Lepisosteus oculatus: one gene and its partners. The protein of the gene in region 3 interacts with the protein of the main gene of each other region in a pairwise test. Links are inferred from orthologs where the notes say so. Each region holds a gene or a part of one and is shown on either strand. Other genes may lie near its edges.

Region 1 (10,329 bases), on a different chromosome or scaffold from region 3:
CAGGGGTCAGTCCTCATGCTTCACTACGCCCATTCAGAAAGCTCCATGAACTGAGAGAAGGACACCACTAGGCACGCACGTTACCAGCTGTCAGATTACAGCAATTCTTTTAACAATGGAATGCTACATGCAGAATTTCAAGCAGAGAAGACCAAGCCTCATTTCCTTTTGGGAATTTTCTGCCAGAAAACTGCAGGTAGTTCTGGCAGTTTTCACTTACTTTTGCCATGCTGATACCTCTAGAATGCATGTACTCAACTGTGGTGTGGTGAAGCTTGGATCATAGTGTTTTAGTACACTTCAGTCTGCTCTCACTTTAACGTATCACTTTAATTATACTGTAAATGTTGCTCCAAATCCTAGTCAGTCTGGTGTAAGCTTTGGAGTTATTCAATGTTAATTGGTACACAAGCTCATTATTGTTTTTGGGGGAATTTTAACATGGCTGTATTTCCAACTGCCTCATAAGAAATAATCTTGAGACTGTATTTAGTACCTCCCTCACAAAATGTGTTTTACAGGCAAATGTCAGGTGTGCTGGTTGAGACAGGATGGACACCACATCCTATCGAAGAACACAGGGGCAAGGAGCTCTCTCGGGCTTGACTACAGACAGCAGGGTTGTCTGTAATCAATCTTCCACGTCTCCAAGCGGATTTGGTTTGGGAACACTTGGATCTTCTGCAGGGCCCTGCACTTTAGAAGTCTGTGTCATTTTACACATCATTCCTGTGCTCGACCACCTGTAATGCAGGCCCTCACGTACCGTCTGGAGCACTGCTAATTTCACTTTGCCGTATTTGTCTTCCTCTGTGTAGGGCTCCTTCAGAACAACAGCCCCACGCTCCCGAGCTTTCTGCAAAGGACAGACAGAAGGCATGAGAAACACACTTCATTAATCGAGGCCTGTCAGTCCCCACCCCAGTCTACGGATCTTACATTCCTGTGCACGTTCCTTTTGAATGAAACCAGTTTCACCTGACCCAGCCTGTGACATGACAGCAACTTTACAGTACAACATATTTAGGACTTTGTGCTTTTGAATAATTCACATTCACGAAATATGCAAAGATAAGTGTCCTTGATCATCTTCGGTCTCAGTTTTCTTTTCGGTTTTGCAGGCAGGTTGCTTTTTCCTGTCTCTCAAGAAGGAGCTGAATATGATGTGCTCAGATCCTTCCCTTTTCTGATAACCGGTAGCTGGATAAAAGCAGCACTCCCTCCAGTTCCCTTGTCTGGGCTCAGTACCTGAACGATAAAGTCGCAGTCCTCCACTGAAAACGCAATGTCTTTCACTCCATCTCCGTGTTCCACGAGATGTTCTCCCATCTCTAGGCAGAAAAAAAAGAGGGGAAAACACAGCAGAGAGTCAGCCGTCTGAAAACGAATAAGGTCGTGTTTAGAATCATTTAGATGCAGCGTGCTTTGTGAATGTTGCTTGGCTCATTTGCTGCTGAGCCTGTTACAGAAGATGAGACGCCACCCTCTTGGGATCTAGACTGTGCTGAATTCTCCCATGATAGGACCCATGTTGGCACAATTCTCCACTGTCTGGCAGTGGTGCCACGTGGCTCGAAAGCCAGAGATGGCCAAGGGCGGCCGTGATCAATTCCCAGCAGAAGAAGTGCCTCAGAGTCACAGGCACCATTTCATGTCTTTCCAGCAGAGCGGATTAAACACAGAGGTTTGGCTCACAGGGCCAGAGAGGAGATCAATCCTGCTAATGTTTGTAGCTTTACTACAACTTTTCCCACCTCCCACCTCCTTCCCGTAACCAGATACTTACCTTTGTTTCCTGGATTCAGTGGAGATGAGAAGACAAATACGATCTGCAGGAAGGCATGACAAAGAATGAATATACACATGTCCAGCCCCCCCCCACACAATAACTGTGCTTTGCTTCATCAGACCTTTCCGAATACTGAAGGGGGCGATACCATTAAAGCCTCTATTCAGGGACCGGCTTGTTTTCCGAGAGTGCTACTTAAAAACAAGAAATAGAGGAACCAGTAAAGGTTCATTCCAAACTGAATAGCAAAAAGAAAGAGGAACAAACAGCATTTGTTGGAGGCTTTGTTCACCTGAGGTTGTGTTTTTTCCTTCTTTTTTTTTTCTCCTTTTCAGTTTGAAAGTAATCTCCCCGTGTATTTCTATTTAAACGTTTCCTTGGATAGTTAATGAAGGCCTTTGCCCCATGGCTCTTTAGACAGGACACCCTAAGGTTAATTAGGAGCTCGGAGGGAGTTCACTTTCCTTACTGAAAATCTACCTCTATCTGGGGAGGAAGGACGGCCTATCTTTACTCTAAAGGACCAAGAAGAAAGAGCCTACCCACAGCGACCAGCAAAAAACAAAGATGTCAAACTTGGTATTGTGACCTCAAGGAAGACATCAGACAAAACTGTCAATGTTTGTTAATGTTTTAGTATTTGCGTCCAATACTCTGCTGTTGGCCCCCTGGATGGCTTTGTCACTGGACAGAAGCTACTGTAGCTGCAGAGCACACAGGAAAGGGGGGCTTGCCTTGTCCTGCTGGACCACATGGGACACCACCTCCCTGCTCCCCGTCTCCAGGCCCCGGTACGCCAGGGGCTCAAATCCCATCTTGTTGCAGTAGAATGAGGCCGCCTAGAAAGGAGAGCAAGCAGGCAGGTTCACTCCATATACGGCACAGGCAATATGTGTCCTGCCCTAAGTCACGCTGCAGGTAGGCTGGAAACAAAGTCAAAAACGATTTTAATTTTTAACATAAAAATAAATTAGAAACCTGTTTAGGATGAACCACCATAACTATGCTACTAAAAAAAAATACACTCAATATCTTAGCCCACAGAGAAGTTTTGAATAGACCTTTACTTACTCACATAGAATAATTAAAAGATTCCTAGTTCTAATAGTACATTGTATTTTCCCATTCTAATTTATTCAGATTACTTTTACAAAAGGACCGTCGTTTTCAGGGAAGATATTAATCTTTGTTGGAAGACATTGTCTACTTAAATTGTTTTAATGACATGTAGACATAAGTATGTCTATTAAATGAAATTAAAGACATAATTCGATTAACACTGTAAACTAAAGCCCCTCGGTCAGATGAAACCGCTGAAGGCATCAATGTGGGTTTAATAAAATAACTGAAGCCACTCCACCCCTCTCTTAAAGCCAATAGAAAGCTTTCCAGAGGAAAACCTCTGTGATTTCGAGAGAGGAAAAAATAAGATGCGAGAAAACCAAAAGTACAAAATTATTCAACTGTCGGATAAATACGCTTACCTGTTTGGCGTTGCCAACCCAGAATGTGATGTGGTCGAAACAAATAAACTTTCCTCTTTCATGCTATAATCAGATAAACACATTAATAAGGAATAAGCATAAAAACAATACAGTTTAAGCTAAGCATATTTCCAGCTAATACGCTCCATCGCGTCTACGAATCAATTTAAGTACACGTCGTGAATTTAAAAGGATATTTGTGATGGGAATAAAAACATCCCCATCACATTTTGTCAACCTATAATAGACTTTGTCAACCACAACAGGTGTTTTCTCTTCTTCCAGATATCCTATTGCATAAAAAATACATATTTATATAAAATGAGCTGCCCTTACTGCACGATTTCAGGCATGACCACAGGGCACTTCAATGAGTAAGAACTTATAATAAAAACGCTATACTGTACGTACCTTTTCGCCCTTGTCGGTGTAAGAAGTCTAAAGAGAAGGAGAAATACAGTTTTACATATGCCAAAATACTCCATACATATACATCACATGATACATACACGAGGACTCATCTGAAACAGAAAAATGTGCGAAATGAATAAAAGGGACTATCAAACAGAAGTGGAAAATTGTGGGGAAGAAGCGTAGTTAAAGAGCTTACTAAAATGTCATTTATAAACCAATAAAGTGATCTCACCATTGTTAGCTGGTTGATTCTTGCAGCAGCCGAACCGGGGATGCAATGAACTTCAGACCATTAAGCGAAAAGACGACACGAAGCACTCCACGCCCCCGGAGTAATGACTGGTGTAATGTGGGGCTCCCTCACTCAAGATTTTTTATGAGTGGGGTAGATTTTAAGCACCGCATATTTCAGTTAAGCACAATAAGACAATGGAACATTGACATTATGTATACATATAGCATATGGCAATGATATATTCTAATATATCTATAATAAAGTTCAGGTGGGGAGCTGCGTCAGCATGCGAAGTCTGCAGAGGAACAATAGGCTTATTCCATGCTGAAAAGAGAAATTATTTCAGCATGGAATAAACCTATTACCTGTTCCTATGTATAATATAACACGTTAAAAACACTTTATTAAAGAATGTATCACTGGTCCCTATGACAGTCATACAGTATGTGAATATACACAGACGGCTGGATGGTGCCCTTTTTGAGACGTTTGTCAGAACGTATTAAAAAGTATATTTCATTGTGAAATGTAGCACGAGGACAAAACAACGTTTTTGTCGGTCACAAAAATGCTTATTCATGCTGGCGTGAATCTAGTGCTGCAGCGCTAGTTAGTTCATGCTTGAATGGTTCCACATGTTGGGTTATTCGATAGAGGAGTTCCTCAGATCCTGGTTTCCAATTGGTTATCCCTAAAACTGCCTTCTGGAAGGGAAACAAAAAAATATACTGTAGCAAGCGCTTTCCACCCCCCGCTTTGAACACATTGTCTTAAATGCGCACAGTAAAGAATATCGGGCCTCATCTCACTATAGCATCAGCAAATCTATTCACGATCATCTTATCACTTATCTTGCATTTTTTTAAATTAAACGTTGAAAGCAAAATGACTAATTTTTATTATGCGAGATGCTATTTATGTGTTCATTAATTTGGTCTACCTATCCGGGTAAATGTTCCTTCAAACGCAATTATTTACACGCCAGTGCATAGAAGGAACGAAATGGAACGGCAAAAACTGATGCGTTTTCTTTTCAGAGATAAAACACTTAATTCATTAAGTTATGGTGCTGTTTGCTAAATCAATTTAAACTCAAATGTGTGGTTTTCCTGTGAGCAAAACCGGGCAGAACTGACATCAAAGGAATTGCGTTCCATACATTTTAATTACAGGGGATTACTGAAAAAACATTGAAGATTGAATATAGCTTCGCGTTCCATGGAATAGCAGAGTATGTCCATTTAAAGGATCCGTAGTTGTAGTTGCTGCAGTTAAACGTCCGGACACGGTTTGAAGATGACAGAAGAAAGCGACCACAATAACTCCACATTTACGGTTGATTATGTTAAAAATCTCGTCAAAAAGAAAGATGAAATTGAAGAACAGATTAAAGCATACTACGACGTTCTGGAAGATGTAAGATTTCAGATTATCCCATTGTGTACTCAAAAATCGGTTCAGTCAGAGTCTGCATAGTTGGGTTTGTGTACCTTGTGTATTTTAGACAGAGATAAAATAAACTCGTCGTAGTATTTGATTTTCAAGTTCTGAACTTTCTGATAACGGGAAAACGATATAATGCGTAAAACACATAGATCGCTGTAGAAAAAATATAACACGCAGTGTGTATCTAAAAGGGCCTGTGTTTTTTTCTGCGACCGTTTGAAAAGTTTTATGCGTAGATTATCGTCAAGGACCCCTGACAGAAATAGTGCGAACGGGTGTTTTAGATGTTATTGTAATATGCAACCGTGATGAGCTTGCAATACGAGTGATCCCAATACTTCATCGACAGCAAAAAGGCGTTGGGATGGACGGTCCGCTCGTTGACGTAGAAGGGTACCCGCGAGCAGACGTGGATGTGTTCCAGGTCCGCACGGCGAGACACAACATCTCCTGTGAGTGGTGCGGGTGTGTGAAAACCGTACGGCCAAAGAGCGAGAGAGCTCTTATTTTCTAAGCCATGTGACGCAGCTGCCTCTCTGGACGGCCGCGTCAGCGTGTTTCGGCTGCAGAGGAGCACGGAAAGGTTACTTCAGCGAAACGCAACGTTTCGGGAGGATAAGGAGACGGAGTAGCTGAGAAAGAGCCTCAGGGGGGTGTTAGCAGCTGTAATCTGTAAATGAATGCAGTATACAGTCTTATCCATTGATGTACAGCTTTTACCCCTGTGAGCCCATTCTCTCCTGCTCTGGCCTTGTTCCCCTGCTCTTTATAATCCCACTACTTTACTCTTCACATCTTAAGACCCCACAGCAGAAACGTTGTTTCTTATTTCTACTTTTTCAGTGTGGTATTATCCTTTACTTGTGCCCATGCTCAAATTAGCCTCAACACTAGTCGTGTCTGCCTTGAGCAGAATCTGAAATTGATTGTCAAAAGTGCAGCAGCAGAAGATGCCCAGACGCCACGGGCCGTCTAATTTAGAGGTTCAGTTCGTCCCGCAGTTGGGAGCCGCCTCTTGTCCCCCGGCCCAGCTCATGTGTGCATTGTGTGGGAAGCCTCCAGCTGGCGTGGCGCCAGCGCTGGTCCCCACCGTGACGCAGTGACGTGTGTCACCCCCGCGCAGGCCTGCAGAACGACCACAAGGCCATCATGCTGGAGATCGAGGAGGCGCTGCACCAGCTCCACGCCCGAGAGAAGGCCAAGAGGGCGTGGGACGAGGCCGAGGCGCGAGAGGAGGCCATGGAGCAGGCCCGCAGCCCTCCTCAGCCCTTCGCCAGAGCGGACGCCGTCACCCCCGGCTCTCCAGCCAGCCTGGCCGTGAGTCCTCTGAGCTAGCTGGGACCCTGTGGGGCTCTGGGGGGGCAGAACGTGGAAATATTCGACTGGAGGCAGGAGCTGGGAAATTCTTGCGCTGCAGACTAATTTCCAGATGTTGCATGATGAATTGCAAATCATCTGCATGTTGAAAGAATGCAACTCCTTTCTGTCTATGCATGCGTTTGCATGATGTGGAAGTGTTGTACTTCATATGTTTGTGGAATCTGTAAACTCAGATCCAGATTAATGCTGACCCCTGACTTGACTCTTGACTCTCCTGATTGTCTGGGGAATTGATTTAAGGAACGTTAGCCCTTGTTGTGAAATAAGCCCCAGCCTTATGGATAGCAAGTGGCAGAGCCGGTAGATTGATGGACTGTGGGCTGACATTGTGTTGTGTGCAATCTGATTTATCCTTTTTAATTATGCTGCTGGATCTTTACTCTCTGTACATTTACTAGGCAGTTATAACAGTAAAAACTGGTAGTGTTAAAATCTGAATAATTCTTGAACCTTATGAAGAAATCTTAAATGCAACACGGTGCTGGTCTCTTCCCTAATGAGGCTAATGCTGTTTTTTTTTTTGGTTTATCTGGAGAAATATGTCCTGCTCTGAAATGGCTTAAAATGATTCTCCCCCCCCTTCTTGTACAGGGCTTGCATGTTGGGGACGAGATCGTTGAGTTTGGCAGTGTGAATTCAGTGAACTTTCAGAACCTGCAGAACATCGCCATGGTTGTCCAGCACAGCGAAGGGGTAAGAATTTGCTTTCAGAAACCTTTGAGCTCATCTGCAGGTCTTCATCCCAGTGGGCCTGTAGGCGAGCTTTTAAACACGTTGATTGGAGCACTGCACTCTGTACAGCTCAGTGATCGCTGTTCTTCATGACCGCGTAGTTGTAGAAAAGTATATTGTTGGCTTGAATGACATTGGTGAATCTTTTTCCTTAGAAACCCCTGAGCATAACTGTGATTCGCAGTGGGCAGACAGTGCACCTGGGCCTGACGCCACAGCGCTGGAGTGGAAGAGGCCTGCTGGGGTGGGTCTGAAAACGATGATTTAACAACAGTCGTGCAGCCAGCCACTTCGGCTTCTTGTGATGCTCTATCTTAATTTCTTGCAGTTTTATTCTTAAGTATTCAAGCCGGGGAAAAAAATGCCAGTAGGTACTCTGTACGTTGTTGATTTCTTGGCGTAGGCCCAGACAAATCAAAATAACCGCCCTGCCACTAACACACGAGGAACGAGCCCAGTGCTCGACGACAGGATTTCATTGGTCAGAAGCCAGAACCCCCGGTCAAAGGAAAGCCACAGTCGTTCTGTGATTAAAGGGTGGGTCGGTGATCTTTCCTGAAGCCCTCCTGTTAGAAAAATATAAATACTCCACATAAGCACCCTCATTTATGTTCCCTCCTCCACCCCATCTCCACATCTGCAGTTGCCCCTTGGTCACTGCTCACCCTGCATGGGGGTCCCAGCCTCCTTGTCCTGTGGCCAGGAGGTTGTCCCTCAGCCAAGTGAGTTACTCCAGATCTTACTATGACTAAAACACCCAGTACACTTCATTCCTGGGTGGTGTTGTTCCCACTGAAACCTCAACAGGGTTTGTACTTTGAGCAAATAAAATACAGTGTTGGTTTAAAAAACAAAACCCGTTTTGTATGGAGCTGGGCAGGTTGTTTTTTCCCAGGACATGCGGATTAGCATAAAGACGCTCAATAAGGTTTGATCAGCTCTGCCCTTCCTACGTTTTGAGAAACAGCATTGAAAAACAAGCGCTGTCAGCCACCCACACAGGCATTGAGTTATGTGACTCCTTGAATTCGTTTTTTAAAATGGGGGTCAAGGTGATTCTGGTTATAGAGATGTTTGGTGATAGATGTTTTAATTCTTAGCAGACGTCTCTAATAGAATGCGTTTCAGAAAGAACAAAATGTTATGGTGTTTGTGTTGCTTCCTTTCCTAATCTTCCAAATGTTTTGTGCCAATAGGTGTAACATTGTGCCACTGCGAAAATAACAACATTGAAGCACCAGAACAGCTGCACCACTCGAGGAGCTTCAAGAAGCTGACTTGTCTATAAGGGCTGCAAATGGAGTTGCTATATTTTGTTGGTGTTTTCTGGTTTTTTTTTTCCCTGTGTAAGAATTGGGAGCTGAAGGAGTTATTGAATTTCATTACACTGGGTTATTTATTACTGTCACTCTGTTGAAACACATTTTATGCCTTTACATTGCTCAAGCATATAGGCTTCCACATGATAAAGAAAAAATTACATTTGACGAACGGAAAGAAATGCTCAGGATCTGTCCCCAGTTGTGGAACTGTGTGGAACTGAATTACATGGGACACTTAAATTATGGCAGATGGTAACAGGATTGGGGAATTGTCACGAGGAAAGCATGAATTTTTTTTGATGTCATATGTTGATGCTTCTTGGTTGGCAGAAATGATTTTCTTACTCGTATATCTAAATTTTAACAACACTGAAGGAAATCATTTTCTAATGACATGACCACAATAAACGGATTTGTCCAAACTTGCTTTTTGAGTTTTGTGTGTGTGTGTCAGTGTTTTTAATAGACATGTCTTTTCCTACAATTCAGTACACTGGGTGACGTGGTAAGTGGGGTTGTCTTTTTCTTGTACTGAACAGAAGTGTAACAATGGATGAAATGGAGTATTCCTGAAACACAAAGTGATCTACTTAACAAAATACGTGGAACATAAAACTAACTTCACCGTGTGTGTTTTTAGAAAAATATGTATGGGTATTGGTATTGGTATGAGTATGGGTTTTGGGTATTGGTTAAATGTTTTTGGCATAATTTTATTAAACTGATCATCAATGGCTGTCCTATTCAAGTGGCAAAGATTCTTCAGCACTTCATCACCTTACTGAGCACAGGCAACGAGGCAGTTTAACCTGCTGAATGTCAAGTCTCGTCATCTGAGAGAAACAGAAAGGAAACAGCACCAGCCTCAGTACCATTGGTTAGTAGGAGCAACACATCAGGTGGACTTTTGCGCAGACTACCCTGGTGAATGTCAGCATGTACAGTACGGAGAGTTTTAAGTAGGGAGCTGCTTCAGCATTCGTAGGCCGCAAAGGAAGGGTTAAAGATTTTCTCCGTGCTGAACGGAAAAGAAAAGAGACACAACTTCCGGCTGTGGACGCTTCTTCAGATGTGGAGACCAGTCTCCGAGCAACAGGACGATTTTCAGTGGAAGTGTCTTTCGATTTCACTGTTTCATGCTCACCTTTTAATGCTGACACCTGAAGAAGCCAAACACGTCTCTTTTCCTTTCCTGGTAGCATGGATTAAGCCTTTACCTGTTCCAGTGCACAGAGAGTGATAACTACTGTGTACCCGAGAGCAATCCATGTGGAGGTCCAAGTGTGAAGGTCTGGGCAGAAGCGTTGTCACTGAGGGTGGCGTGACTGCATGGTTCCCTGGTAGCTTTGTGATTTGTCTGCACTAAGTGATCAAGTTTCTTTTGATGATCTGAATACAAATAAAGACCAAAATTCACATTCAGATGTCTTTATTCATTTCTGCCATTACATACATTTGCCAATACAGTGTATTTTAATCGTTAAAGGGTCTACAACATAAATGCAGTTTCAGTTATATTATAATGAC
Region 2 (10,449 bases), on a different chromosome or scaffold from region 3:
TACGAGAAACACCATATTTGAACTATTGGTTCTGTGAAAGATCACTGAATTAGCCTTCCTTAAATTCAACATTACCCGCAGAACACTGTTATGTTTCAATAATTTATTTTACATTTTTAAAGCTAAATAATACATTTTACTTAGGAAATATTTGAGGTTAGAGAAAAAAGTATAAGGGAAAAGTAAATGAGTATGCAAAAGTTTATTGTGAATATAGTACCTGCATTTTATGTAATATATATTTGAGACGTTTATGAAACAATATATAGAAATAGCACAATGATGGCTGCTTCACAATTCTTGGGTCCTGGGACCTAATCTTAACTGGGATGCTATCTGTGTGGAGTTTGCATGCTCTTTTGAGGTTCATGTGGGGTTTTCCCTTGGTGATCCAGTTCCCCCCCCCTCCATCTTCAAAACACATGCTTGTTAGGTCAATTAGTGTCTCTTAAATGTTCTGTACATTATTGCTTTGCCTTAGTATTGGAATTCTTATATTTTCATGTGATAGACTCATGATGAGTGAAATTATTTCACTGTTGTCTTTTGTCAGACTGTGACCTTGTATTACCACTGAAAGTAGAAGAGAAGTATCAATAGATAATTATAGGCTGCATTCAGTGTTTTTAAAACCGATGAGCCTTTACTACTGAGAATAAAGATGGTCATGCAGTTAGAGCTGCTAAAATAGATGACAAATACTGTGTAGGTTTCTTTTTTATACTAAGGTTTCCATTCACTCTTCTTTTCTTTGAGGAAATGCAGCAGTTGTCCTGAGAGCATACTCAATGTCATATTGTAGAAAAAAGCTATTGTTATATTTGTTTTTACAATTCTATACTGCTACTGCAAGATAACCGGATTTGTAAATTTAAGCACATAACAAAAATATTCCACAAGGAAATCTACCAAATTTAGCTTTTAACTAGTTCAGTCTGATTCTAGTAAGTGTGATACAGAGATGGAATGTATTAGAGGTTGTCTGGCATAATTTGCCTAATGGCAGTCTAACTGCAAGCATGAGGCTGACAAAATCCTCTCTCATTTTCGCAAGGGGTGGCGAGAGTGATGTGCAAAGGGGTGTTCAGGAAGTGATATATATACTACTGTGAGAGAGTAAAAGTGGGTAAGTTTAGAATCAAACCTTTCTCTTAATTTCTGTTAAAAATGCCATTTATGATGAGCAAATATTATGATTCCAATACAGTAGCTAATTTGTAGCCTATAAATTGAATACACAGCAATATACAGTACTCTACACGACTCAATTGCAAAGTATTCTGAGTTTAAGGTCAACCTAAACAGATACTCCTTTCTATGCAACACATACTGCAGCAACACATAACAGCTTATATTTAAAGCCTGGATCAATGAATTACATTTTAGCATGTTACCCAAATATTTATATTATGTTCTCATAATCAGGTCATGATTTTAGCTTGAAGCAAGAAACACCTTGATGCATTCAAGGAAATGGCTCAGAAATATGAAAGTTATTTGCTTTCTTCCCACCGTGATAATCACAGTAATATGTGTGGGAACAAAAGCTAAATTGGAGAACATGTGGAGCTAATGAGACATTCTGTTTTCTTCAACTTCAGACATAAATCCAATTTAGACACTCTGGGATACAATGAATCAAGTTTTATTACCAACAACCTTGACATTTATTTTAAATGATACAGGACTTTAGAAAAGTTTCTTAAGGTAGGCTAACTTAATTCATCAGTTCGCAAAGAAAAAGAAAAGGAGATTAATGTTCAGTGACACACCTCTAAACCCCTATGTAACATCATCCAAGACCCAGTATGTGAAAACACTGGTCACTGAGGGTTTTATTCTTGTTTGGACAGTTCAGCTTGGGTACTTGAAGGAGTGAAGATGGTTCAAGTCCATGATCTTAACCACATACAGTACACTACAAACGCAGGAAATAGAAAAACAGAAAATATTACAAAGACCTTGGTTTTGTTTGACTTTGAATTTTGTTATTGTATCTTTAAGTAAATACATCAAGCTTACATGTTTTTGAAGACCCTGACTGTTTTTCCTTCAGAAATTCTTAGAGACACTAACTCATCATTTAATGAGTCATTTGCGTGGTCTTTGTGATTCCAAAACAACACTAAGCAGAGAATCATACTCTGCAGACAATTTTCTATGCATGGGTAAGTGAAATTCTCCTCACAGGTTTGAGGGACAAAACTGACCTTGTATAAGCTGTACCAGTGATATAGCTGGAATTTGAAAGATAAGAATATTATACAATACTGTAATTGGCTAAAGATTTCCTACTTTTTCAAATACTACTTCAGGACAAAGTTACTTCAATAAATAAACAAGCAATAAATGAGTACTAGCAAAGGCCAGTGAAAACGCCTTTGTTAAAAGGGAGACCAGTCATTTTGATATCCTGAAAACCAATCCTTCATCACAAGAGAAAAAGAATAAAAAGAACCTTGAAAACATGCCTTTTATTCATTGAACGCACTGTACAGGAATGCCTGACTGTGTCTGGGCAACAGTAAGAATATCAAGCAACCAATTCCTCATGGCCCTTTGAAAAGCACAATGTAAAAATAGTATACAGTATCAAATTACAAAATTAAATTATAGTATGCAAGTTATGTGGTCATCTCATTATGTGTCATCTGAGCAAGTGGGCACCTTTCGATTTTACTCATATATCCATTTTCTGCAACTGATTTATTCATAGAGGGTGCCTTTGAGCTGGAGTGTAATCCAGCAGGCAAAGAATGCAAGATGCAATTATATCCTGGATGGAATAACAGTACATTGCAGGGTGCACACACATTTAGGGCAATTCAGGGATGCCAATTAACTCAGGTAACATGTCTTTGGACTGTGGGAGGAAAAGGATGCACCAGGTGAGAACACAAAGGAACACAGGAGAATATGCAAACTCCACACATAAGGCTCCACAACCAGAAATCAAATGCAGGACAAAAGAGCTGAGACAGAAACATTAACCCCTTGTTTAGTCACAAATCCTGAGTTTCTAAATTATTTGACTGAATCTGACTTATTTAATCTTAGTACTTTTACTAGCAACTTAAACAATTGTACTAGAAGAGTCCAGCTTTACAAATTAGTAGTTCATTAGTTCAGCCTATTATACTTTAATGTCAGCTGCACTGTGTAGTACAAAACAGTAAATGCTTAAATACTAGGTGAAGTAGTTCACACCTGGAACTTTCCATCTCATGATTGTTTTACATACTGGTTAGCTCATGGACTCACTAGATCAAAAGATCATCACATCTCTAGTGAATGCTGGTGAAAGAATATCACAAAACTTATTTAAATAGTTCTTAGTGTAATCTAATCCTCAATAACTTTACCTAGTGCAATGCTCTTTTTGCAATATACTGTAGTTCACACTCAAGGCTATAGGTGACCCAGAAAATTGTCACTGAACTAGAAACTTACTGTACATGAACTGCCAACAGGGAGACCTTTGGTAAAGTTTTTTTTGGTGGGCTGATTTGAAATAATTTGAAATACAAAGGTGAACCCTAATATTTTAACATTAAATTATAACATACTAGACTCATTAAAAGCATAAGGATATCCCATTTGGATAAATATTACATAAGAACTTGAAATGTAATATAGTAAAGAAAAATATATAGTACTGTTAGCTTCATTAACTATTACAACACCTATCTACTGTAGCTAATGTTAGCTAGCAGTCATTTCTTTCTTAAAAGTTGTTGTTAAAGCTAGTCTGACAGTTTGATAATGACAGATATAAAATTAATTCTATTTCATATGCTGTAGCACACTGTAAATACTTTTTTCAATTTGTTTCAAACTATAGGATCATAGTGTATAAGACATGTGACCAATAACTAATTTAAAAGTAGTGTAATAACCAGCCTTACATCTAAAATGCTTTTGTGTTTAGACTTTGACTTCCTGTCTGGCTTCTAATTATTCACACGGAAACATAAGAATGACTCAATATGAATAAAAAATAACATGCCAAGGTGGAAAACAATGTCATTATCTCAAATGCACTTACTGTAACCATTTAACAGACAATTCAAAGATATGAATGCCATCTTGAGAAATTTTCATTTCATCTGAATTTTAATTCAGATTGCGTGTTGATGGGTGTTGCATAATTAGTTGTTTACGAATTTAGTTGCTACTCAGAATGTCTATATACAGTATGATGCTTAACATTTAGACCAGATTCCGCTAGAATTATGTGTGTATTATTATTTAGTTAATATTAATCTGTAATTTAAACAGTCGTCTGTTCCACAAAACTGTGTTGTAGAATAATTACTTGATTTTATAAGTCTGGAACTACAGAGATTCGCTAAGAGTATAAAATGAAGAATACCCCTTGATCAGGTCGAAAATGAAACATGTTCTGGTAGAAACAAAACTCCTCCGAAGAAGAGACTTCATTTATTACCTTTGATTCTTGCTGGCTGACAGTAGACGCTGGTGATTGAGGCAGATCATGCTCTTGTTCGTTTTCCTTTTCTTTTTCTATGTTGTCTTCCTCTAGCATGTTAGCTGGTGGAATCATCTATAGGGTTTTTATAGTTGAAAATAAAACCAGCGGCAGATGCTCCTGTTACGTTCCTCACCTTCTTCGTGGAGTCTCTGTATTTTATTAAAATTTTACATACTGGTTCTGAAAGCTGTCCTGGCCCCTGGAACCGTCTGTGAGTCCCAGAACCATCAAAGCATCATCTCATTAAAGTACACCAAAAGGAGGGTAGCCCGTCTTTTGTCAAACTATCAATAGTAAAGGGTTATGGATTGGGAAGTCAAATCGATTATATTTCCGATTCAATAACTTTATATCAATCAACTTTCTTCATACAAAGGCCGACGGGTAGGAAAAAAATAAAGTACAAAAAAAAATAAAGCAAACGGGGATTAACACTCAAATTAACAAACCTCAGGAAAAAAAATGTAACTCAGATCGCAGACTTGAGACTTGTTCAGTTTTTCATATCCCTTCACCAGAAAACTGCTGTTTGTCAGAGCTTTGTCCCTATTGGCATATACCTCCCACTGATGTATACAAGTAAACGGTATACTGTATCCTTTCACTCAGATGAGCTGGATTAGAATGATCTGGTTAAAATGCGTGAGACTTTTGTTTATGTCTCTGGTATGTCTGACTGACGGTTTCGGAGGGAGGAGTCGTGCTGGATCAGTGCCATCCTTGTTCATCCTACAGTGATATCAACCCCTATTTCATATAAAAGGTCATAAAATAAACGTTAAAATAACTACAGCAACGCGTATTTCTTTAATCGTAGTTCGATTAAGTAAAATATTTTGAAAAATGATAACTTCGAATCTGCGCATATTATGCGGGGCACCATCAGACTTCATTTATCATATTTGTCATCATGTGCATCTAGGAATGTGAGAAAACATTTATTAAATGGAAAATAAGTTAAAGACACAAATAAGGATACACAACATAAATATTTTAGCATTATTTTTGATGAATGCTCTGATGAACTCAAAATCAAACAGAGAATAGTGAGCAATCATTATCTTTTAGTTAAATCATTTTAAAAAAATCAGTTTTGATGAATTGCTAAGAACAAAGCACATGGAAGGAAAGTAAACAGTGAATATGGCATTTTGAGGCTGGAGTATCACAAATGGTGAAAACATGACCAAACATAATTAACTTCGGCTTACTTCCGAAGCTGTTTGAAATTCCATATTTTTATCAACTTTATTTTTGTACTCAGTGGTCATATCAGCACAAAACTGTATATTGTCTTTCATGTACTTGTAAAGTGTGTTCTTCCTCATTTGTGAAAAACACACTACACAGTAATTGTAGTCTTTTATTGTAATGAAAACTCTTTTCGTAAAAGGATTCAATAAAGTTAAACATTTGAACCAAATAAGACCTATAAGAAGAAGAAGAAGAACAACAACAAGAACAAGAACAAGAACAAGAAAGTGTAATGTATTATTATTACACCCCAACCATTTCAGCTTTGCAAGGGAGCAGTAGCCTTTTCTCGGCAAGCAAAAAGTGCAAGATGTGTCACACTCAGAATAGGACGCCAGTCCATCATAGGGCAAACACAGATACAGACACGTACACACTCACACCAGGGCCAAGTTTCCTGTAAGCTAATTAACCTAAGAGTACAGGTATATCTTTGGACTGTGGGATGAAACCAAAGCACCTAGAGGAAAGCCATGGGAAAATGGAAAGAACATTTTCCATTAGGACATGATGGCGAAACAGTGGTTAGAATTGCTGCTGTTGCAGCGCTTAGACCCTGTGTTCAATTCCAAACCTGGGTTGCTCTCTGTTTGGAGTTTGTATGTTCTTCCGCAGTCTAACATCACACAGGGAGGTTAATTGGCTTCTAGGAAAATTGGCCCTGGTTTGAGTTTGTGCATGTCTATGTTTGTGTCTGTGTGTACCCGTATGATGGACTGGTGTCCCATCCAGGGTATACCCTGCCTTGCCCATGCTGCTTACTGGGGTCTCCTGCTCTCCTGTGACCCTGAATTGGAAGAAACGGTTAGAAAATGGTTGGATGCTTTACATTATTCTAAATTGAAATTGCAGGGGGGATAAACAATATCCTAGATGTATTGGTGTTGCACCTGGGGGCACAGAGGCAGATGGGAGTAGTGATGATTCATAGAGGAGGAAGTGTTCCACACACTGCTCAATGCTGTTAGCCTTCTTTAGAATACTATTTTTGCAGAGAGGATTTAGCTTGGTCTGATTCACCCCAATGATTTTGTTACTTGTGTTCACTAATCTAGAGATAAATTGTTTTAAATCAATGGCAGATTGTGCTCTACAACTGGCTATCATGACACCCATGCAGGCTGACGTCTATCCTCTAAAGGAGAATTCTTCTGGAATATCACTGCCTTTCAGAATGGGTTAGATTGCCTTGGGAATACTGCAGAAAAACAGAAACAGCATTGAAGGCCATACCTTTCATCTCAGCACACAGCAACACTCTGCTCCGATGTCCTTCAATTTCAATGCAAACTGGGTAACAGTTAAGATACTGGACCTCAGCAGATAAAACAATATAAAAGCCTACCAATGGATTTCTTTTAGAATTATAAAATATTGGCCTTGAGTCACTAGGATAATGGTCTCTGTTCAGTGATAGATAAGACATTCTCGTACCGCTCAAATGTAGTTAATCTTCTTCACAATACAAGTCTGCCTCAAGGTAAATATGATTTACTTTATTGCATGTCTTCATAAATCTTTCTTAGAATTCTGAGAGAGTGAAAATAGCTGAAACATGATTTTCTTTTTATGTTTGTAATCTGTAATCATGTACTGTATAAATTGGAGATGCTGGAAACTTTTAAAAGCAGATAAATCAGAGGTTATTTACCTACACACACAGAGGGGACTCTGTCCTAATGTTTCTAGTAATGTAATTATGTCTCTAATGATTTTCTTCTTTATTAGCGACCAGTGTCTCCTATAAATGTGTAAATAATAACATAATAGGAACAGTTTTAGAATTGTTTAAAAATGTGGTGTTTTATTTATTGAAAAATATATTTGTTGAATTTAAGGATTTACAGATCCAGCCATTCAAAATGCACAGTACAACCCCATACCACGTACAATTACCCACAGTTCACTGCGGTGTACCGTGGTACGTGATTTGGCTGGCCAAAATGACTGACAGGGGCACTCTTGGTGCATTGGTTGTTAGTGAAAGGATGTAATCATTTAATCTCTTTTCTGTGCATGTTTTAATACACTTAGTATTGAATATTTATATGGAATTTGACAGCTAAAGGGAAATTTTAGTAGCTGAGCACAAAAAGAAGACAAGCATAACACATCTGAAGGTCATAAACGATATTACTTTAGGAACATAAACATATTATGTAAAATGTATATAGCTGGTATTGGTAGTTTAAATAAAAAATACACACCAGTATTCCACTTTCTTCCTAAACATTTTAAACATCAAAGTCTTTCATTTGGTTACATACTGTAGTTTTTTTGGAAAAGTTTTTACGTGCTCCTTCAGACTATATTAAGTTTATATACTTTGTAAAAAGTTATAATGTTTTAACCATATCTTCAATCTGCTACTGTACTGCCACTACAGTATTGCTTGTGGTAAATAAATTTGTCCTGCATCAAAGTTAAATTTGTTCAGAGGACCCTACATTACAAATTCCTAGCATTTCATTTTGACCTGAAGACCCTCACACCTGAAGAAGGCTTCACAGATGAAACATTGTGTTTTCTCTTCTCTTTTCTGCATGGAATAAACCTATTACTTGTTCCTTAACAATGACAACATTGCATGCTACTGAAAATTCCTTCCCATCCCCCTGAATTGTTCTGTTCTATTCTATTCTACTGTCATGACCGCCAGCCAGCAGAGATCAACCCACAAAAGAGCCAACCAGTGCCAGCAGCGGGTTCATAATAACAAGTGCCGCCGCACGTGATAATCCATCAGCACACGCTCTACCATGCGGCAGGCAGCGCTATTTAAACCATCTAAACTCGCTTCCCGTTGCTCGGTACTACAGATGCAGCCATTCAAAATGCGCGGGCGATACCGCATTATTTTCCGGTACGTTGTACGCAGTCTACCGCGAGTTTCCGGTAAATACCGCAAGTTACCGGTAAATACTGCTAGTTACTGTAAATTCTCCTATAATACCTCTCATGTTTGAGCTGTCGCCATCAAAGTCTTTAACGAAGATATTACTAATAGTATTAATAATGAATGACTTTGGACAAGCTGTAAGTGTAAACTCAAAGTATTGCCCTGGTCCACATTCTTTTTTTCATTGACCCTCTTTGTAAAAGTAACACCACAGCATTTCGCAATCACGCATTTGTTTCCAATCATGCAAAGTACCGTAATTTTTGAGAATCGATTCACCATGCCTTTCACATGCTCATAAAAGCATGTGAAATAAATAAAAGAGATTGATTTAGGAACCTAAACATATTACCATATGCAAACTGTACTGTATACAGTATGTATATGTATATTTAATGTCTTAACTGTGCCCGTTTAAGTATTGAATATTTATATGGAATTTTACCACTGAAGGGAAATCTTAGTGCCTGAGCATAAAAAGAATAGGAGCATACTGCAACGCGTGTGAAGGCCATAAACAATATTAATTTTGGAATTTAAACATACAGTATATGGCTGGTCTCGGTACTTTAAAGAAAACATACACACCAGTATTCCATTTCTCCCTAAACATTTTAAGCATCGAAGTCTTTAACAAACGTGATACCGGAGTCAACAAACATACTTTTAGAATTTGATTAAAAGGGAATATAATATGGAATCGCGTATCTCAAGAAATTAATAACGATATGATTATATTCGTGTACTGCGACAGGGCTATGTAGGGCTGTTTTGCCTCTTTCTTCATGCAACTTCCCTTGTAGCCCACTGGTCTACATGCCCGATTACTAACTCACGGGTTGTGTGTTCAAATGCAGCTGGTGCTGGACTTTTCTTTTAACAAACATTTCTTCGAAAAAATAGAATAGCAATATTATGGACAATCAATTGACTTTTATATTTCAAAATATCACAACATGATCGATTCTAAGTCATTTTTGATAACAATGAATAGTCACCTTCTTCCCTTCTGACAACGGTCCCTGCTTCTGCTTCCTGCTTCTATTGTGTGTGTGTAATAGAGTAAATTTTTATAGAGAAATGGAGGCTGGACAGTATGCGTTACAATATAAACATTTATATTGATTTAAATCGTGTTTTGATTTAAATCGCAAACGCGTGTTTAATTATATGTGTTTTTTTCATCATAATCAGACTAATGCAACATAAATTGATACAGTATCTTTGTCTTCTAAGTATCTTAATAAACTTTCAGCATAGCTTTCTACCCGTTTAGATTTATTTTTCTTGGGATTTTGGGATCAAACGTGGAAGGATTAGATTGTAATCGTTTTTATTTTTCAAATACGTTTAAGAAAAGTGTAATCTATACCTGCCCAGACTGTACGCCTTCCTAGACCCCACCCTGCGCACCCCAGCTGGGCGCTCTTCGGCCTCTGCCAGGGACGAATGTATATTTTGATATTTACACCCGGTGCGGCACCGAGGGAACGTCTGGATTTATTACTTAGTTTTTAAAATTAGTCAAGCAATATGAAGCAACTCCTTTTACTTTTAAATCCCTTAAGTACATTGAGCACAGCTTTCTCACCACTTAAGATTACTTTTTGATACCATCCTTACACAAAGCAGAAACTTTCCGATGACATACAGTACAAGTGGAAAGATTACAGATTTTAATCGTCATTCAATTTGTTACGTTATACGTTTTAGGAACATTTAATCTAAATAAACACCACAAAACTATTCTCGATTGTATTTCTGAATGTTATGTTACACCTACAGTAGTTCACTGCTTTAAATA
Region 3 (11,027 bases):
AATCTGATTTGTTACCCTGCGGTTTGTATTTAATTCCCAGTGCTATGCCAATCAGTGTCACTGTATACTGCACTGCAGTGTTTCTGTGGTTCCCAAAACCCCCTGGGGGAGACAACCTCCTCTCTTCTTTCCTCCCTACCTCTCTCCCTTTCCGGTCCCCTGCTACCTTTACCTCTCTTGAGCCAGACAGCGTGGGAGGAGGAGCGCAGTGGGATTATCCAGAATCTCCATAATGAGATCATTGAAGAAGACGGGGCTCCCCCTGACTCTCGGAGTCTGTGCAGCCACAGCGGAGGAAACTCCCCGTGCTGAACAGCGGGGCACTTCTGCCTGGACCGGGAACCGCAATGCTGCTGGCCTGGCTGCAAAACAGCTCCAGAAGCCCTTCCCCACCGCCGACGTGCACTCCGTGCGAAGCCAGAGTGAAAGACTCACCCCATTTGAGTTAGCTGGGCTGTTCTCCACTCCACCAGGCTCCAGTGCACTACAGCACTCTGCTCACTGCACACAAGTGCTCTCTCACACACACAGCGGCACTGTTAAGGAACTCGTTGTGGCACAGTTCTATCACGGGGTGATCAGCACCTGCTGACCTGTGTGCTGAACGAACCTTGTGTTAAAACACCCTCTTTTTTACTTAACCTCAAAAGCACTCTCTATCGTCTCCACACGGATACGGGAACTGCTCCAGAGCGGGTTCGGACACATCGCATTGGCGTTCGGCCGCTCCGCCAGCTGACCAGGCCGGCCGGAGAACCGCAGCCAGCTGCGTCTCGCTCGGCTCCCACGAGAGGCGCCTGCACACGCCTGCTCACGCCTGCTCACGCCTGCTCACGCCTGCAAGTAAATCCCCACCGCCAGCTCTCATAGCACAGGAGCCGCCATGCAGAGCCGCGCCGCGCCCACGGTCCGACGGGCTGAGCTGTGTGTGCGAGGCCCATCCCTTCCCTGGCGGAGTGAAGGAGCAACAGGGGGAGTTTTCTTCAAGGGAGCTGAAGAGTTTTAATGCAGAAAGCACAACGTTGACACTTTTCACTCCGAGCCTCCTAACCCTAAGGCCTTCGGGGGGGGGAGGTGCCCTGTCCTTGCACAACCAAAACAAGCTGAACAAAGCAATCAGGGCCAGGGGCACGATTACCAGCACATTTCTTGGACTCGGCGACAAGAATTGATCTTGCACAGGAGGTCTTAGATGACCTCTCATCCACTCAGGTGCCAGATCCCCTGTAGATCACCAAGAGAGCATTTACATCCTTTTTGCCGAAAGACATTCAGTTGATGAACAATGAAAGAATTGTTGGCAGGTAGGGACCTTCTTTCATTATTATTGCTTGTAGACTGTTTACAATCCAGTTGCCTGTTTCTTCAATCTTTCGGTACTGGAAGAGTTCCGATATCGAGTGATGTGGTTGAATCTTGTTTTGTATTATGGTATTGTACCGTCGCTGTACTGTATTATCGTCGTATACGTTATATATTTATGAGCTCTTGATCTGCAAGACAAATTCCCTTAGGGGCAATGAAGGTTAGTTCAATTCAAATTAATTCCATTCGAGCACAGCTGGAAAGCCCAGCCTCTCCTTTTTCCTGTGTTACTTGTCTGTATCAACACCACATTCGGTTTTATTATATCTTTTTTTTATCCTTTTCTCATATACCTTTATTCAGACAAACACACGTTCTTGACTTCAGCTCTCTGCTTTACTTTTCAGCTGCAGGCCGACTGTAAGTTACCATCGTCACGTCATGCACCCACTCCCTATCCACCCACCCGCCCACCAGTCTCCCGCAGGGCAGAGCTGCTGGACCCCCTTAGTGGATTAATTAATTATCCTCCCGTTCTGAAATAGACTGTGCTGTGCATCACAGCCCCACAGGGCCTCAGAAATCTCTGCAATCCCTACAGCTCAAATCACCAGCACTAAAAATACCGGGCCTCAGGGTCACATTAACACAACACAGATAGCCCACCACAGGCCCTGGAGGCCTGGGTCGGCTCTGTGCTGGTTCTGTGCCGGTGGGGGGTGGCCGTTTCAAGCCCGCTGTCTAAAAACGGTCCACTCCAGCTTCACATTCCAGTCTCCATCCAGCAGAGCCAAGTCCAGGGCAGACTAGCCCAGCCCACTTTACTGCAGCCTCTTCCCAGGAAGGGCGGCTCAGCCCGGCAAAACCCCCGTCCCCTCCTCTCCAGCCGGTCTCGTTCCCAGTCCGTTCTCCATCGGCGGCTGCAGCCCAGCTCACTGTAGCCAACGGGACAGGGTCAGCCAGAGGAGGGACAGGACAGGACAGGACAGGAACGGGCTGCAGACTACAGAGCAGCTGCAGCTCTTCCTATCAATAACCTCATTGTGGGGAGACAGCGAGGGGCTGACTGTGGCCTAGACAGCTGTGGAGCAGATCTCTGCTCATGGCACGCGCGCGCAGTGACATTCGTGCATCTGGGCACGGTTTTATTCAGAGCCACTTATCAGCCAGGAAGCAAGGGTGCATGAAAAAGGGAGCACATTATAATATGAGCACAGAAAACAGGAAGCTGTTGAGAGCCAGGAGGCTAGGCAGTGCTGAGGGGATTTAGTGCTCATCTCACTGAGCAGACGGGGTATAGAGATACAAGGGCACAGCCAGTCACAGGCCTCTGGGATCAGGTATATGCTGAAGAGAGAGGTTGTGGGGAGGGGGGGCGGGCGAGTCCGCGGTTCTGAATGTGGCAGATTAGTTTTTCCACCCCTGGGGGTGGGGGGACAACACACACTCTCTCATCCACTCGTGGCCAGTGTGCTGACAACACGAGCAAGAGAGTTGCAATAAAAAAAAACTTGAATTACTTCATCGCTTTGAGTGGACTAACCTGGCAGCCGACAGCTTGGAGGATCGATACAAACTGAATCACCGCTGTAGTCTTCAACCGAAAGCCATTAGCGCTGCCTAATCAATCCTAATTAAAAACCTGCCAGCCCACGAGCACAATGATGAGATAATATGACTTACTGTTCAGAGACTGGGCAGCTAAATACCTGAATAAGCAAAGACTGCAATCAAGTTAATCGAATTACTGAGCAACGCTATTATTTGAAAAACAGACCACATTCATAAATGAATGTGAATAACTGAATTATTCAGGACTGAATAACCACACTGCCGATTACTGAGCAAATAACTAAATATCCAAAAACTCAATGATTCAGCAAATGAACAAGGCAGCGCAGGAACTGTGGATTTTAAATCATCACGCAACAGTGCGACTAAATAATCTCCTCTTCGCACTCCACTGATTACGGCTCTTCGTCAGCGTTTAAAGAGCCAGTAGATAAAAGAGATTATTTACGCAATTTGTGGAAGAGAACAGAAGATATCAAATAAAAAGGAATTTGCTGGAATCTCTTCAGCGTCTCGGGGTTTAACGTTTTAATCTTTTGCACAAAGCCGTCACGCCGGGAGACTCTCGCCCTCTGGTATATACAAAACCCAAATGCCTTTGACATCCGTCTCTCTCGCTCTCTCGCACAAATGTGATTTCTATCCTCTCCTCCTAGTCTGTTTGTCACAGTCAGATTAGAGGAGATTGAGCCTGGAGCACAACTGTTATTGAATTCTGGAAATAATACCTACAGAGTCTGCTGCTGTCCTCGGAGTTGTTCATTCAGACGTAACGTAAGTCCATCTGCTGAGAAGCATGGGCTTCTAGAAATTCCCTCTAGGGTAACCTGCTCATCCCTCATGCTGCCCCCTGCAGCCTTGAGCCCCAACACTGCACAGAGCACCCCACTATACTTTGAGCCCCAACACTGCACAGAGTACCCCACTACACCATGAGCCTCGACACTGCCCCATGCTGCCCTGAGCCCCAGCAATGCACGAGTACCCTCCTGCCCCATGAGCCTCAACGCTGCCCCCTGCAGCCTTGAGCCCCAACACTGCACAGACACTGCACCCTGAGTCCCAACATTGCACTGAGATCCCCACTGCACCATGAGCCCAAACACTGCCCCCTGCAGCCCTGAGCCCCGAGCCCCAACACCACACAGAGCACCCCGACACTGTACCACACCCTGACTCGCCCGCTGTGCTGAGCACCGACGCCGTCCCTCACTCCGAAACCTGCCAGAGGGAACCGACACCAGGATGCTGAACTTGCCCCTCGCCAGTCTTCCGTCTTCGCTTACCGTCCCGGCTGCTCTCCAGAGCCTGCGGCGCAAGGACACAGACCGGACAGCAGCCGGGCCGGCGGGAGGACCGCTCAGACTGTGCCGACTGACCCTGCTAACGCTCTGCAGACCCAAACACAGGTTGGGGGGGTGCCCCCCAGTAACTCAAACTAGGGGTTCACCGCACAGCTCGCTTGCTGTTTTTTCGTGTTGTTTTTGAAGGGGGGTGCTGCATTATCCCATGCACAGCGCTGCAAGATCTTACCGGATTCCATCAGCCATCCTGACCAGCATTGACGCGTCTGCCCGGCATGGTGAAATCAATCACAATCATAACAACAGCAATAACACTGACACCCCGCGGGACAACTACAGCGAGCTAATTAAATACGAGTCCGTGTGCCCCCCCGGAACCCCAGCTCTGGCCCGACACCCCCACCTTCTCGGACACCCGTGCGCGGTGCCGGAGGGTACCCCCCCCAGCCAGCCCTCGGTGGCGACCCACCTGAATCTTCTCTATGTACGAGGTCGGGATGTAGCCGGTCTCCCCCGAGCTGGACCGGGACCCGAGCCACCAGTGCTGGTTGCTCTTGTCCAGGATGAGGAAGGTCTCTCCGGCGGCGAAGGGCAGGGAATTGGGCTCCGGCGAGCGAAACGCGTACAGGGACCGATACATGCCGAGCCGTGCAATAAATAATAATAATCACACCTCCTTCACAGGCTAGCGCTCCGGGAAGCGGACAAGAGGGTAACTCTTCCCTCTGAAGTCCGGAATCCTAGTATACTCTACAGGGGGAGGGATAAACACTGATTTATTCCCGATTCTCTCCCTGCCTGCCCCGCTGAACCGCCGGCCAGCCCGAAACGCTTGTAAACACTGCAGGGGGCGCGCACGCACGCAGAAATGGACCGGACGGGCACGCCCCCGAAAGCAGCTCATCAGCAGACGCCGCTGTCCGCCTGCAACTGGAGCAGAAATTCATGCATACTGTGTAAAGCGATGTTAACGTCTGTCTCCCCCCCCCCCCCCCTTCCTATTTTAACAGAAACAATAACATTATTTAGCTGTGTGTGTGTTTTAAAAAATATATTTTAGGACGGGAAAGGGGAAATAAGAATCACAAACGAGGGGGGAGGTTGCTCACTTGAGATGAGAATCTCATCCAACCGTTTCTAACAGCTGGCACTCATGACCCTGGTCCTATTTTTATTGAAGGCGTATTTTAACTTTGCTTTCAGTTCTTTAAAACCCTAAAACTGGCTCCCCACCCAGTACCACTTTTTGAGGTTCAGAAAACCCCTCGTTCAGGAGTGCTGCCCTTTGGAGAAAGAAAAAATATATTTTTTTTAACGAGCGCCTGTGTGTGTTGCTCATCAGCTGATCACCTCTTTAGGACCGAGGTTGAGAACTTCAGTCTTGGAAGATCTCCGAGAATCAGCATCAAGCTCTAGTTCCTTGTTCCAGGCACCTACCAACCTTGTTGTAAAACAGTGCCTCAAGTTCTCCGTCATGGATATACTTTTTTTTAGTTTGATCACGTCTGTAGGTTGGTGTTTGCTCTTGTTCGTTTTTTTTAAAGAAGTATATTAGGGTGACATTTGTTGCATAGATTACTGATTATAAACCACAAAACAGTGGTCTTGAGGGTGTTTTAGTTGTTTACAGGAGCACCTGAAGAGCAGGCAGCTAACTCGGTCCAATTTAAATCAATAACGTAAAGGTGACTGCGGCCATTAAGAGCTGAAATGGGATGAAAACTACACACGTGTCCTCTTGGACCAGGACTGGACACTTCTGACTTGAAAATAGAAATAGTTTAAAGGCCAAAATGGATACAGTACATCAGACAAGATAAATGTTAATATTTACTTTAAAATATTGTGTTCCTAATAGTTCCGACTTTGTGGCGTGTGTTCATGATATTACCTTTATTGCGGTACTGAAAAGAGAAAAAAGGTCAATTAACGTATTTAATCATGTAAATAATATGATTTTTATCGTCGCTAAGAAACGCTCCAGCCAATCAGCGGCAGGTTTACAGTGACCCGGGAAACGCGAAGACACTGCACTGTGGGGCTCTCTGATTGGACAGCCGAGAGACACGGGACCCACGTGTGGACGGAAGCCGGGAGGGGGAAAGCGTTTGTAGAGGACGGCGTTTGAATGTGCTCTCGTGTGTCCTGTAGCTTAGAGATGTGTGTCACAAGAGTGTAAAACAGACGTCGCTTTTAGGAAGAAAAGCTATTCCGTTTAAGTCCAAAGCCATCGCCGTTGCTGTCGTCACTGGATCCTAACCGAGCAGTTTCCCTTCTGAAGTATGTGTGAGAGAGGGACCGTCTCTCAGTTTCTCCACAGCTGCTAAAATAACTGCCAGATGGGCAGCTCTGGGTTTGCAATCAGGCGCAGTAGCCTGGGGGCTATTTAGGAAGACGTGTTGACTGAGAATGTATCACTATGATAAGTAGTGTATGATGATTTACCTCGCGTCAAGCATTTCACAGGTGTCTGACATAATTAAGATATAGTCTGGTGTGCGTAGAGAGATATTGGAAAAACTGAAGTGTTTAACTGCTAAATTCATTAATATCATGGTCGTGGTTGATCTGGCGATGAGTGATATGACTTGTATTTGTCTCGTTGTACACACACACGGGTGAAAAAGGAAACGGTCTCCTCCTGCAGCATTCTGGGAAATGTAGTGTAACAGCTGGAGCAGTCACTGATTTAAGCGATACTGACATTTACAGAATCCATTTACATTTGTTTAATGGATTATAATGATACTGCTTTTACTGTTACCTTTTTACTTATCGTCTAGTGTATTCCAGTTATTGCATTTATTAGGCTGACTAATCACTTCAAGCACCAGGAGCATGGATGCCTCTCGGGGCTCTGTCTGTGAAGAGCGTGCTTTAGGAAGAAGGGTTCCCAAAGAATTCGTGGCAGATGGTCTAGTCCATAGTGAATTGCTTCTTGCCTTTATTATGTATTTTCTCTAAAATACGCGAAATATAAATGAAAAAATCAGATCCGTGCATTTCTGCTGTCCAGTCGCAGAACCCTGCACCGGAGGAATCTCAACATTTCCCAGACGGCTGCCGATTCCCTGGGGCCGTATTCTGGACCTTTCGTTTATGACGTCATCACTCATGCATTACGTAACACCGGCTGTTCCTGTCGGCGACGCCCTCCAGCCGAAGATTCTCCTTCTCCCTCTCGGTCTCTCTTCCTCTGCAGCCGCTCGGAGGGAGGGCAGGCGCGCGGGGGATGAGGTCGACGGTGCTCCTCGCCCCGGTCACGGCGCTGGAGTTTCTGGGGGAGGAGTATCTCCTGTCAGGTGAGGCGGGAGAGCCAGCGAAGAGAGCAGGCTCCTCCAGAGGCAGGGCGCTGTGGCACATCAGTTCAGTTCAGTTCCAGGTGCTTTATTGGCACGGCCAGTGAGTACAATCGGTGCTGCCAAAGCAAAACAAATTAACATAAAAAATTAGACATTTACAATGAAGACACATCAGAAGACATTTACATACGACATAGAACATAATTGGGAGACAGGCTCACTGCTCCTCAGGCTGTGACAGGAGATCACATACTGGGCTGCCAGTTCAGCTGAGTTCCCTCCTCCCTCTCCCAGTAGGATTGGGAGCTGTTCTGATTCTGGCAGGTGTGGGGATTCTGGGATTAGATCTGTTGTTTTGGGGGGGAGAATGTTTCTCTAATCCCAGAGTATCTGTCACAGTGCAGTAGGAAGGGCGCCTCTGTCTCTGTTTCTCTCCGCCGGCAGTGGGAGCTGTTTGGTCTGCGCTGTGGTCACATCTCTCTCCCTCCCCTTTCAGAATCGGCCCCGCGTTCGCCGGTTTCTTAAAAAAGAGGAATGCAAATAGAAAAAATAGAAGCATAGCAATGGAAAAGGATGCGGACATGCCGAACTGAGACTTGTCCCCCTGTGCCCCGCCCGCTGTCTTTACAGGTGAGGGTCCGGTCCTCTCTGTCTACAGCCTGCGCACGTCCAGCACAGCCCCACGGCAGCCTGGCGCCACACTGAGCGTGCTCAGAAACCACCGCATCCATGGCATCCGACCAGCCCCCCGGCGACAGGAGAGCGGAGAGGGAGGGTCCCAACAGCAGCCACGCCCACACGAGGAGAGTGGGGGCGGAGCCGAGCCGAGACCGCAGCAACACGATGAAGGAGGGGGAGGGACCAAGGGGGTGGGCGTGAGGGGGGCCACGCGAGAGGAGACACCGCGGCAGCAGGTCGACCAAAGAGCCGTGGAGCTTCGGCCGCCGGGGGAGGGGCTAGGAAGGGGCGTGGCTCCGCAGGAGAGAGAGGGCGGAGCTCTTCTGGCGGTGTTTGGGGGCAAAGCCGTGTGTGTGGTGGAGCTGAGGGAGGAAGAGCGCGCCGGGGGAAGCCCCCGCCTGGCCGAGCTGTGTCCGCTGTGGGAGCTGCAGGACTGGGTGTGGGATGCCCACTGGCTGCAAGGGCGGCGCCACCTGGCCGTGGCCCTGGCCCACAATGCCGTAGTCCTGTGTGACCCCTGGGCCCGGGTCGCTCTGGCCCTGTCGCGCTGCGCGGAGGGCTGCCTGCTGTACTCCGCGCTGCTGCTGGGGCCCAGCTGGGCCGGTCTGGTTGTGGTGGGCGGTACGGTGTTCAGCCAGCTGGTCCTGTGGGGGCCGGCTCAGGGCGAGAGCGCGGGGGGGGGCGGGGGCGGGCCCGCAGTCCAGCGCCGCCTGGAGGGGCACGAGGGGGTCGTTTTCGGAATCGCCTACCTGCCGGAGTCCGGGTGGCTGGCCTCCGCCTCCGACGACCGCAGCGCGTGCCTGTGGCAGGTGGGGTCGCTGGGGGGGCCGGCGGGCTGTGGGTCCGAGAGCCCGGTGCGCCTCTGGGCTCTGTACGGGCACCAGGCCCGGGTGTTCGCGGTCCGGCTGCTCCGGGGCCGCCTGCTCAGCGCCGGGGAGGACTCCCTCTGCCTTCTTTGGGACGGGCACCGCGGCAGCGTGGCGCGCCGGTTCAAAGGTCACAGGGCGGGGGGGGTGCGGGCACTGGCGGTCAGCGAGGGTGGGGGAGGTGGGCACTGGGCTGCCACGGGGGGGGCAGACGGGGGGATTCGAGTGTGGCGGATCGGGGGAGAGGGAGGGACACGGGGGGGGGACGGCGAGGGGGAGGGCGGACCTGGGAGGGGCTGTGCTTCTGCCCCACGCCGCTCTCTGTGCGACCTGAGGTTCAGAGGCAGAGGGTCCCCCAAAGTGGTGCGCCTGGCGGGCTTCGGGGCGCAGGGGCACTTGCGTGTGGTGGTCCTGACAGACGAGGGGTGCGTGTACCTTCACAGCGGCGGGGAGGGCGGGGGCGAGGGCTGGCAGCCGCTGGGGGGGGAGGGGGACCCCGAGTTCAGGTCGTACAGCGTCCTGGAGCTCGCCGAGGCCGGCGGGGGCGCGGCGCTGTGCGCGGTGGGGAACCTCGCCGGCGGGGTCCGCGTCTTCGCGCTGGAGCAGCCGGGGGGCGCCCTGGAGTTGAGGGCGGGCCGGGGCAAAGTCCACAGCCTGCACTGGGCCAGCGAGAGAGGGAGGGGCGGGGAGGAAGAGCCCGGGCGCTGGCAGCTCTTCGCCTCGGGGCTGGAGGGGCAGGTGTACCGCTGGGAGGTGTGTGCGGCCGGCGGGCGGGGGGGGCAGCAGGCACTCGGGGTCCGGCCTCTCCGCCCGCTCCTGCTGCCGGCCTGCGCCAAGCGCTGGTTGACCGCTGTGGCCGCCCTGCCGGGCAGGGGGGCGCTGTGGGCCGCAGGGGACCGGAGGGGCTCTGTCCTGCTGTACAGGGGGGCGCGGGAGGGGCGAGGGGGGCCGGACGAGCCCCCGCTGGGCCCGGTGTCGGTTCTGTTCGGCCTGCACGGGAAGCAGGGCGTCACCTCCCTCCGGGCGCAGGGCGGGCTGCTGTACAGCACCGGGCGGGACGGCTGCGTCCGGGTGCTGGGGGTCCGGTCAGGGGACGAGGCGGAGGAGAGGCCCGACACCCTGGAGGTTCTGCGGGCCCAGCGGACCTGCCGGGGCATGGACTGGGTCGAGAGAGTCCTGTTCCCCGAGACGCAGGAGGAGGAGGAGGAGGAGGAGGAGGGGGGGGAGAGGAGCCCAGCGGAGGAGGAAGAAGGCGGGACAGAGCGCGCCGAGGGTGGGGGGGGAGTCAGTCCGGAGGAGAGAGGCCGGGGGGGGGACAGACTGCGGGGAGCCACGGAAAGTGGGGCGGCGGGGGGCGGAGGGCCCAGGGGGAGGTTTCTCGTGCTGGGGTTCCACTCGGTGGATTTCGTGGTGTGGGACCCCGTGCGCCACGAGCGCCTCCTCTCGGTGCCGTGCGGGGGTGGCCATCGGTCGTGGAGCTACTGCGCCCCCAGCAGGGCGAACGCGGGTCCCGGCTGGACGCCGAGCCTGGGGGACGGGTTCGCCTTCATCAAGCAAGGAGGGGTCTTCCTGTCCCGCGGCCGAGGGCCCCCCCTGTCGGGTTTTGGGGTGCCACTGGAGCTGAAAGAGGGGGTGCACGGACGAGGGGTGGCGTGCGTGTGTCGGGTCGGGGCAGTGAGGTCAGAGGCTGGGGCGTGGTGGGAGGTTCTGGTGACGGGGGGCGAGGACACCACCCTGACAGTGCTGGGTGTACAGCCTGACTGTGGATCTGTCAGAGTGCTGTCCATCATCGCTGACCACATCTCCAGCGTCAGAGCGCTGGCCACTGTACCCCAACCCGAGGGGGAGACGGGCGCACAGGGCGGGGGACGCGGGGACAGACAGACAGGTGCAGGGACAGACAGGCTCCCAGATGGACAGACAGACGTACAGGAGCCCTCCTGTCTGTCTGCATTGCTCTTCTCTGGCGGGGGGCGGGCCCAGCTGCAGAGCTACAGGCT

Evidence for each region.
Region 1: the proteins of nckipsd (region 3) and psmd9 interact in binary tests that used the Homo sapiens proteins (3 or more experiments, as listed by UniProt). The two-hybrid records come from large-scale screens. The link is inferred for Lepisosteus oculatus from reciprocal best matches to the Homo sapiens genes NCKIPSD and PSMD9.
Region 2: the proteins of nckipsd (region 3) and stac interact in binary tests that used the Homo sapiens proteins (3 or more experiments, as listed by UniProt). The link is inferred for Lepisosteus oculatus from reciprocal best matches to the Homo sapiens genes NCKIPSD and STAC.

The regions. Positions count from the first base shown.
Region 1 is NC_090717.1:7,043,743-7,054,071, forward strand, and holds psmd9 (26S proteasome non-ATPase regulatory subunit 9), read left to right. Parts: upstream 1-5,167; 5' UTR 5,168-5,218; coding exon 5,219-5,338; intron 5,339-5,717; coding exon 5,718-5,820; intron 5,821-6,491; coding exon 6,492-6,685; intron 6,686-7,339; coding exon 7,340-7,441; intron 7,442-7,635; coding exon 7,636-7,724; intron 7,725-8,676; coding exon 8,677-8,704; 3' UTR 8,705-9,228; downstream 9,229-10,329. Other genes in the region: 4-hydroxyphenylpyruvate dioxygenase, read right to left, coding at 767-856, 1,249-1,331, 1,787-1,829, 2,524-2,628, 3,274-3,336, 3,685-3,711, 3,920-3,922. UniProt on the Homo sapiens protein: Acts as a chaperone during the assembly of the 26S proteasome, specifically of the base subcomplex of the PA700/19S regulatory complex (RC).
Region 2 is NC_090705.1:25,708,974-25,719,422, forward strand, and holds the start of stac (SH3 and cysteine-rich domain-containing protein), read right to left. Parts: upstream 5,163-10,449; 5' UTR 4,565-5,162; coding exon 4,448-4,564; intron 1-4,447. UniProt on the Homo sapiens protein: Promotes expression of the ion channel CACNA1H at the cell membrane, and thereby contributes to the regulation of channel activity.
Region 3 is NC_090699.1:65,473,892-65,484,918, reverse strand, and holds the start of nckipsd (NCK-interacting protein with SH3 domain), read right to left. Parts: upstream 5,039-11,027; 5' UTR 4,822-5,038; coding exon 4,651-4,821; intron 1,031-4,650; exon of another isoform or gene 173-1,030; intron 1-172. Other genes in the region: tRNA (34-2'-O)-methyltransferase regulator WDR6, read left to right, coding at 7,414-7,483, 8,114-11,027. UniProt on the Homo sapiens protein: Has an important role in stress fiber formation induced by active diaphanous protein homolog 1 (DRF1). Induces microspike formation, in vivo. In vitro, stimulates N-WASP-induced ARP2/3 complex activation in the absence of CDC42.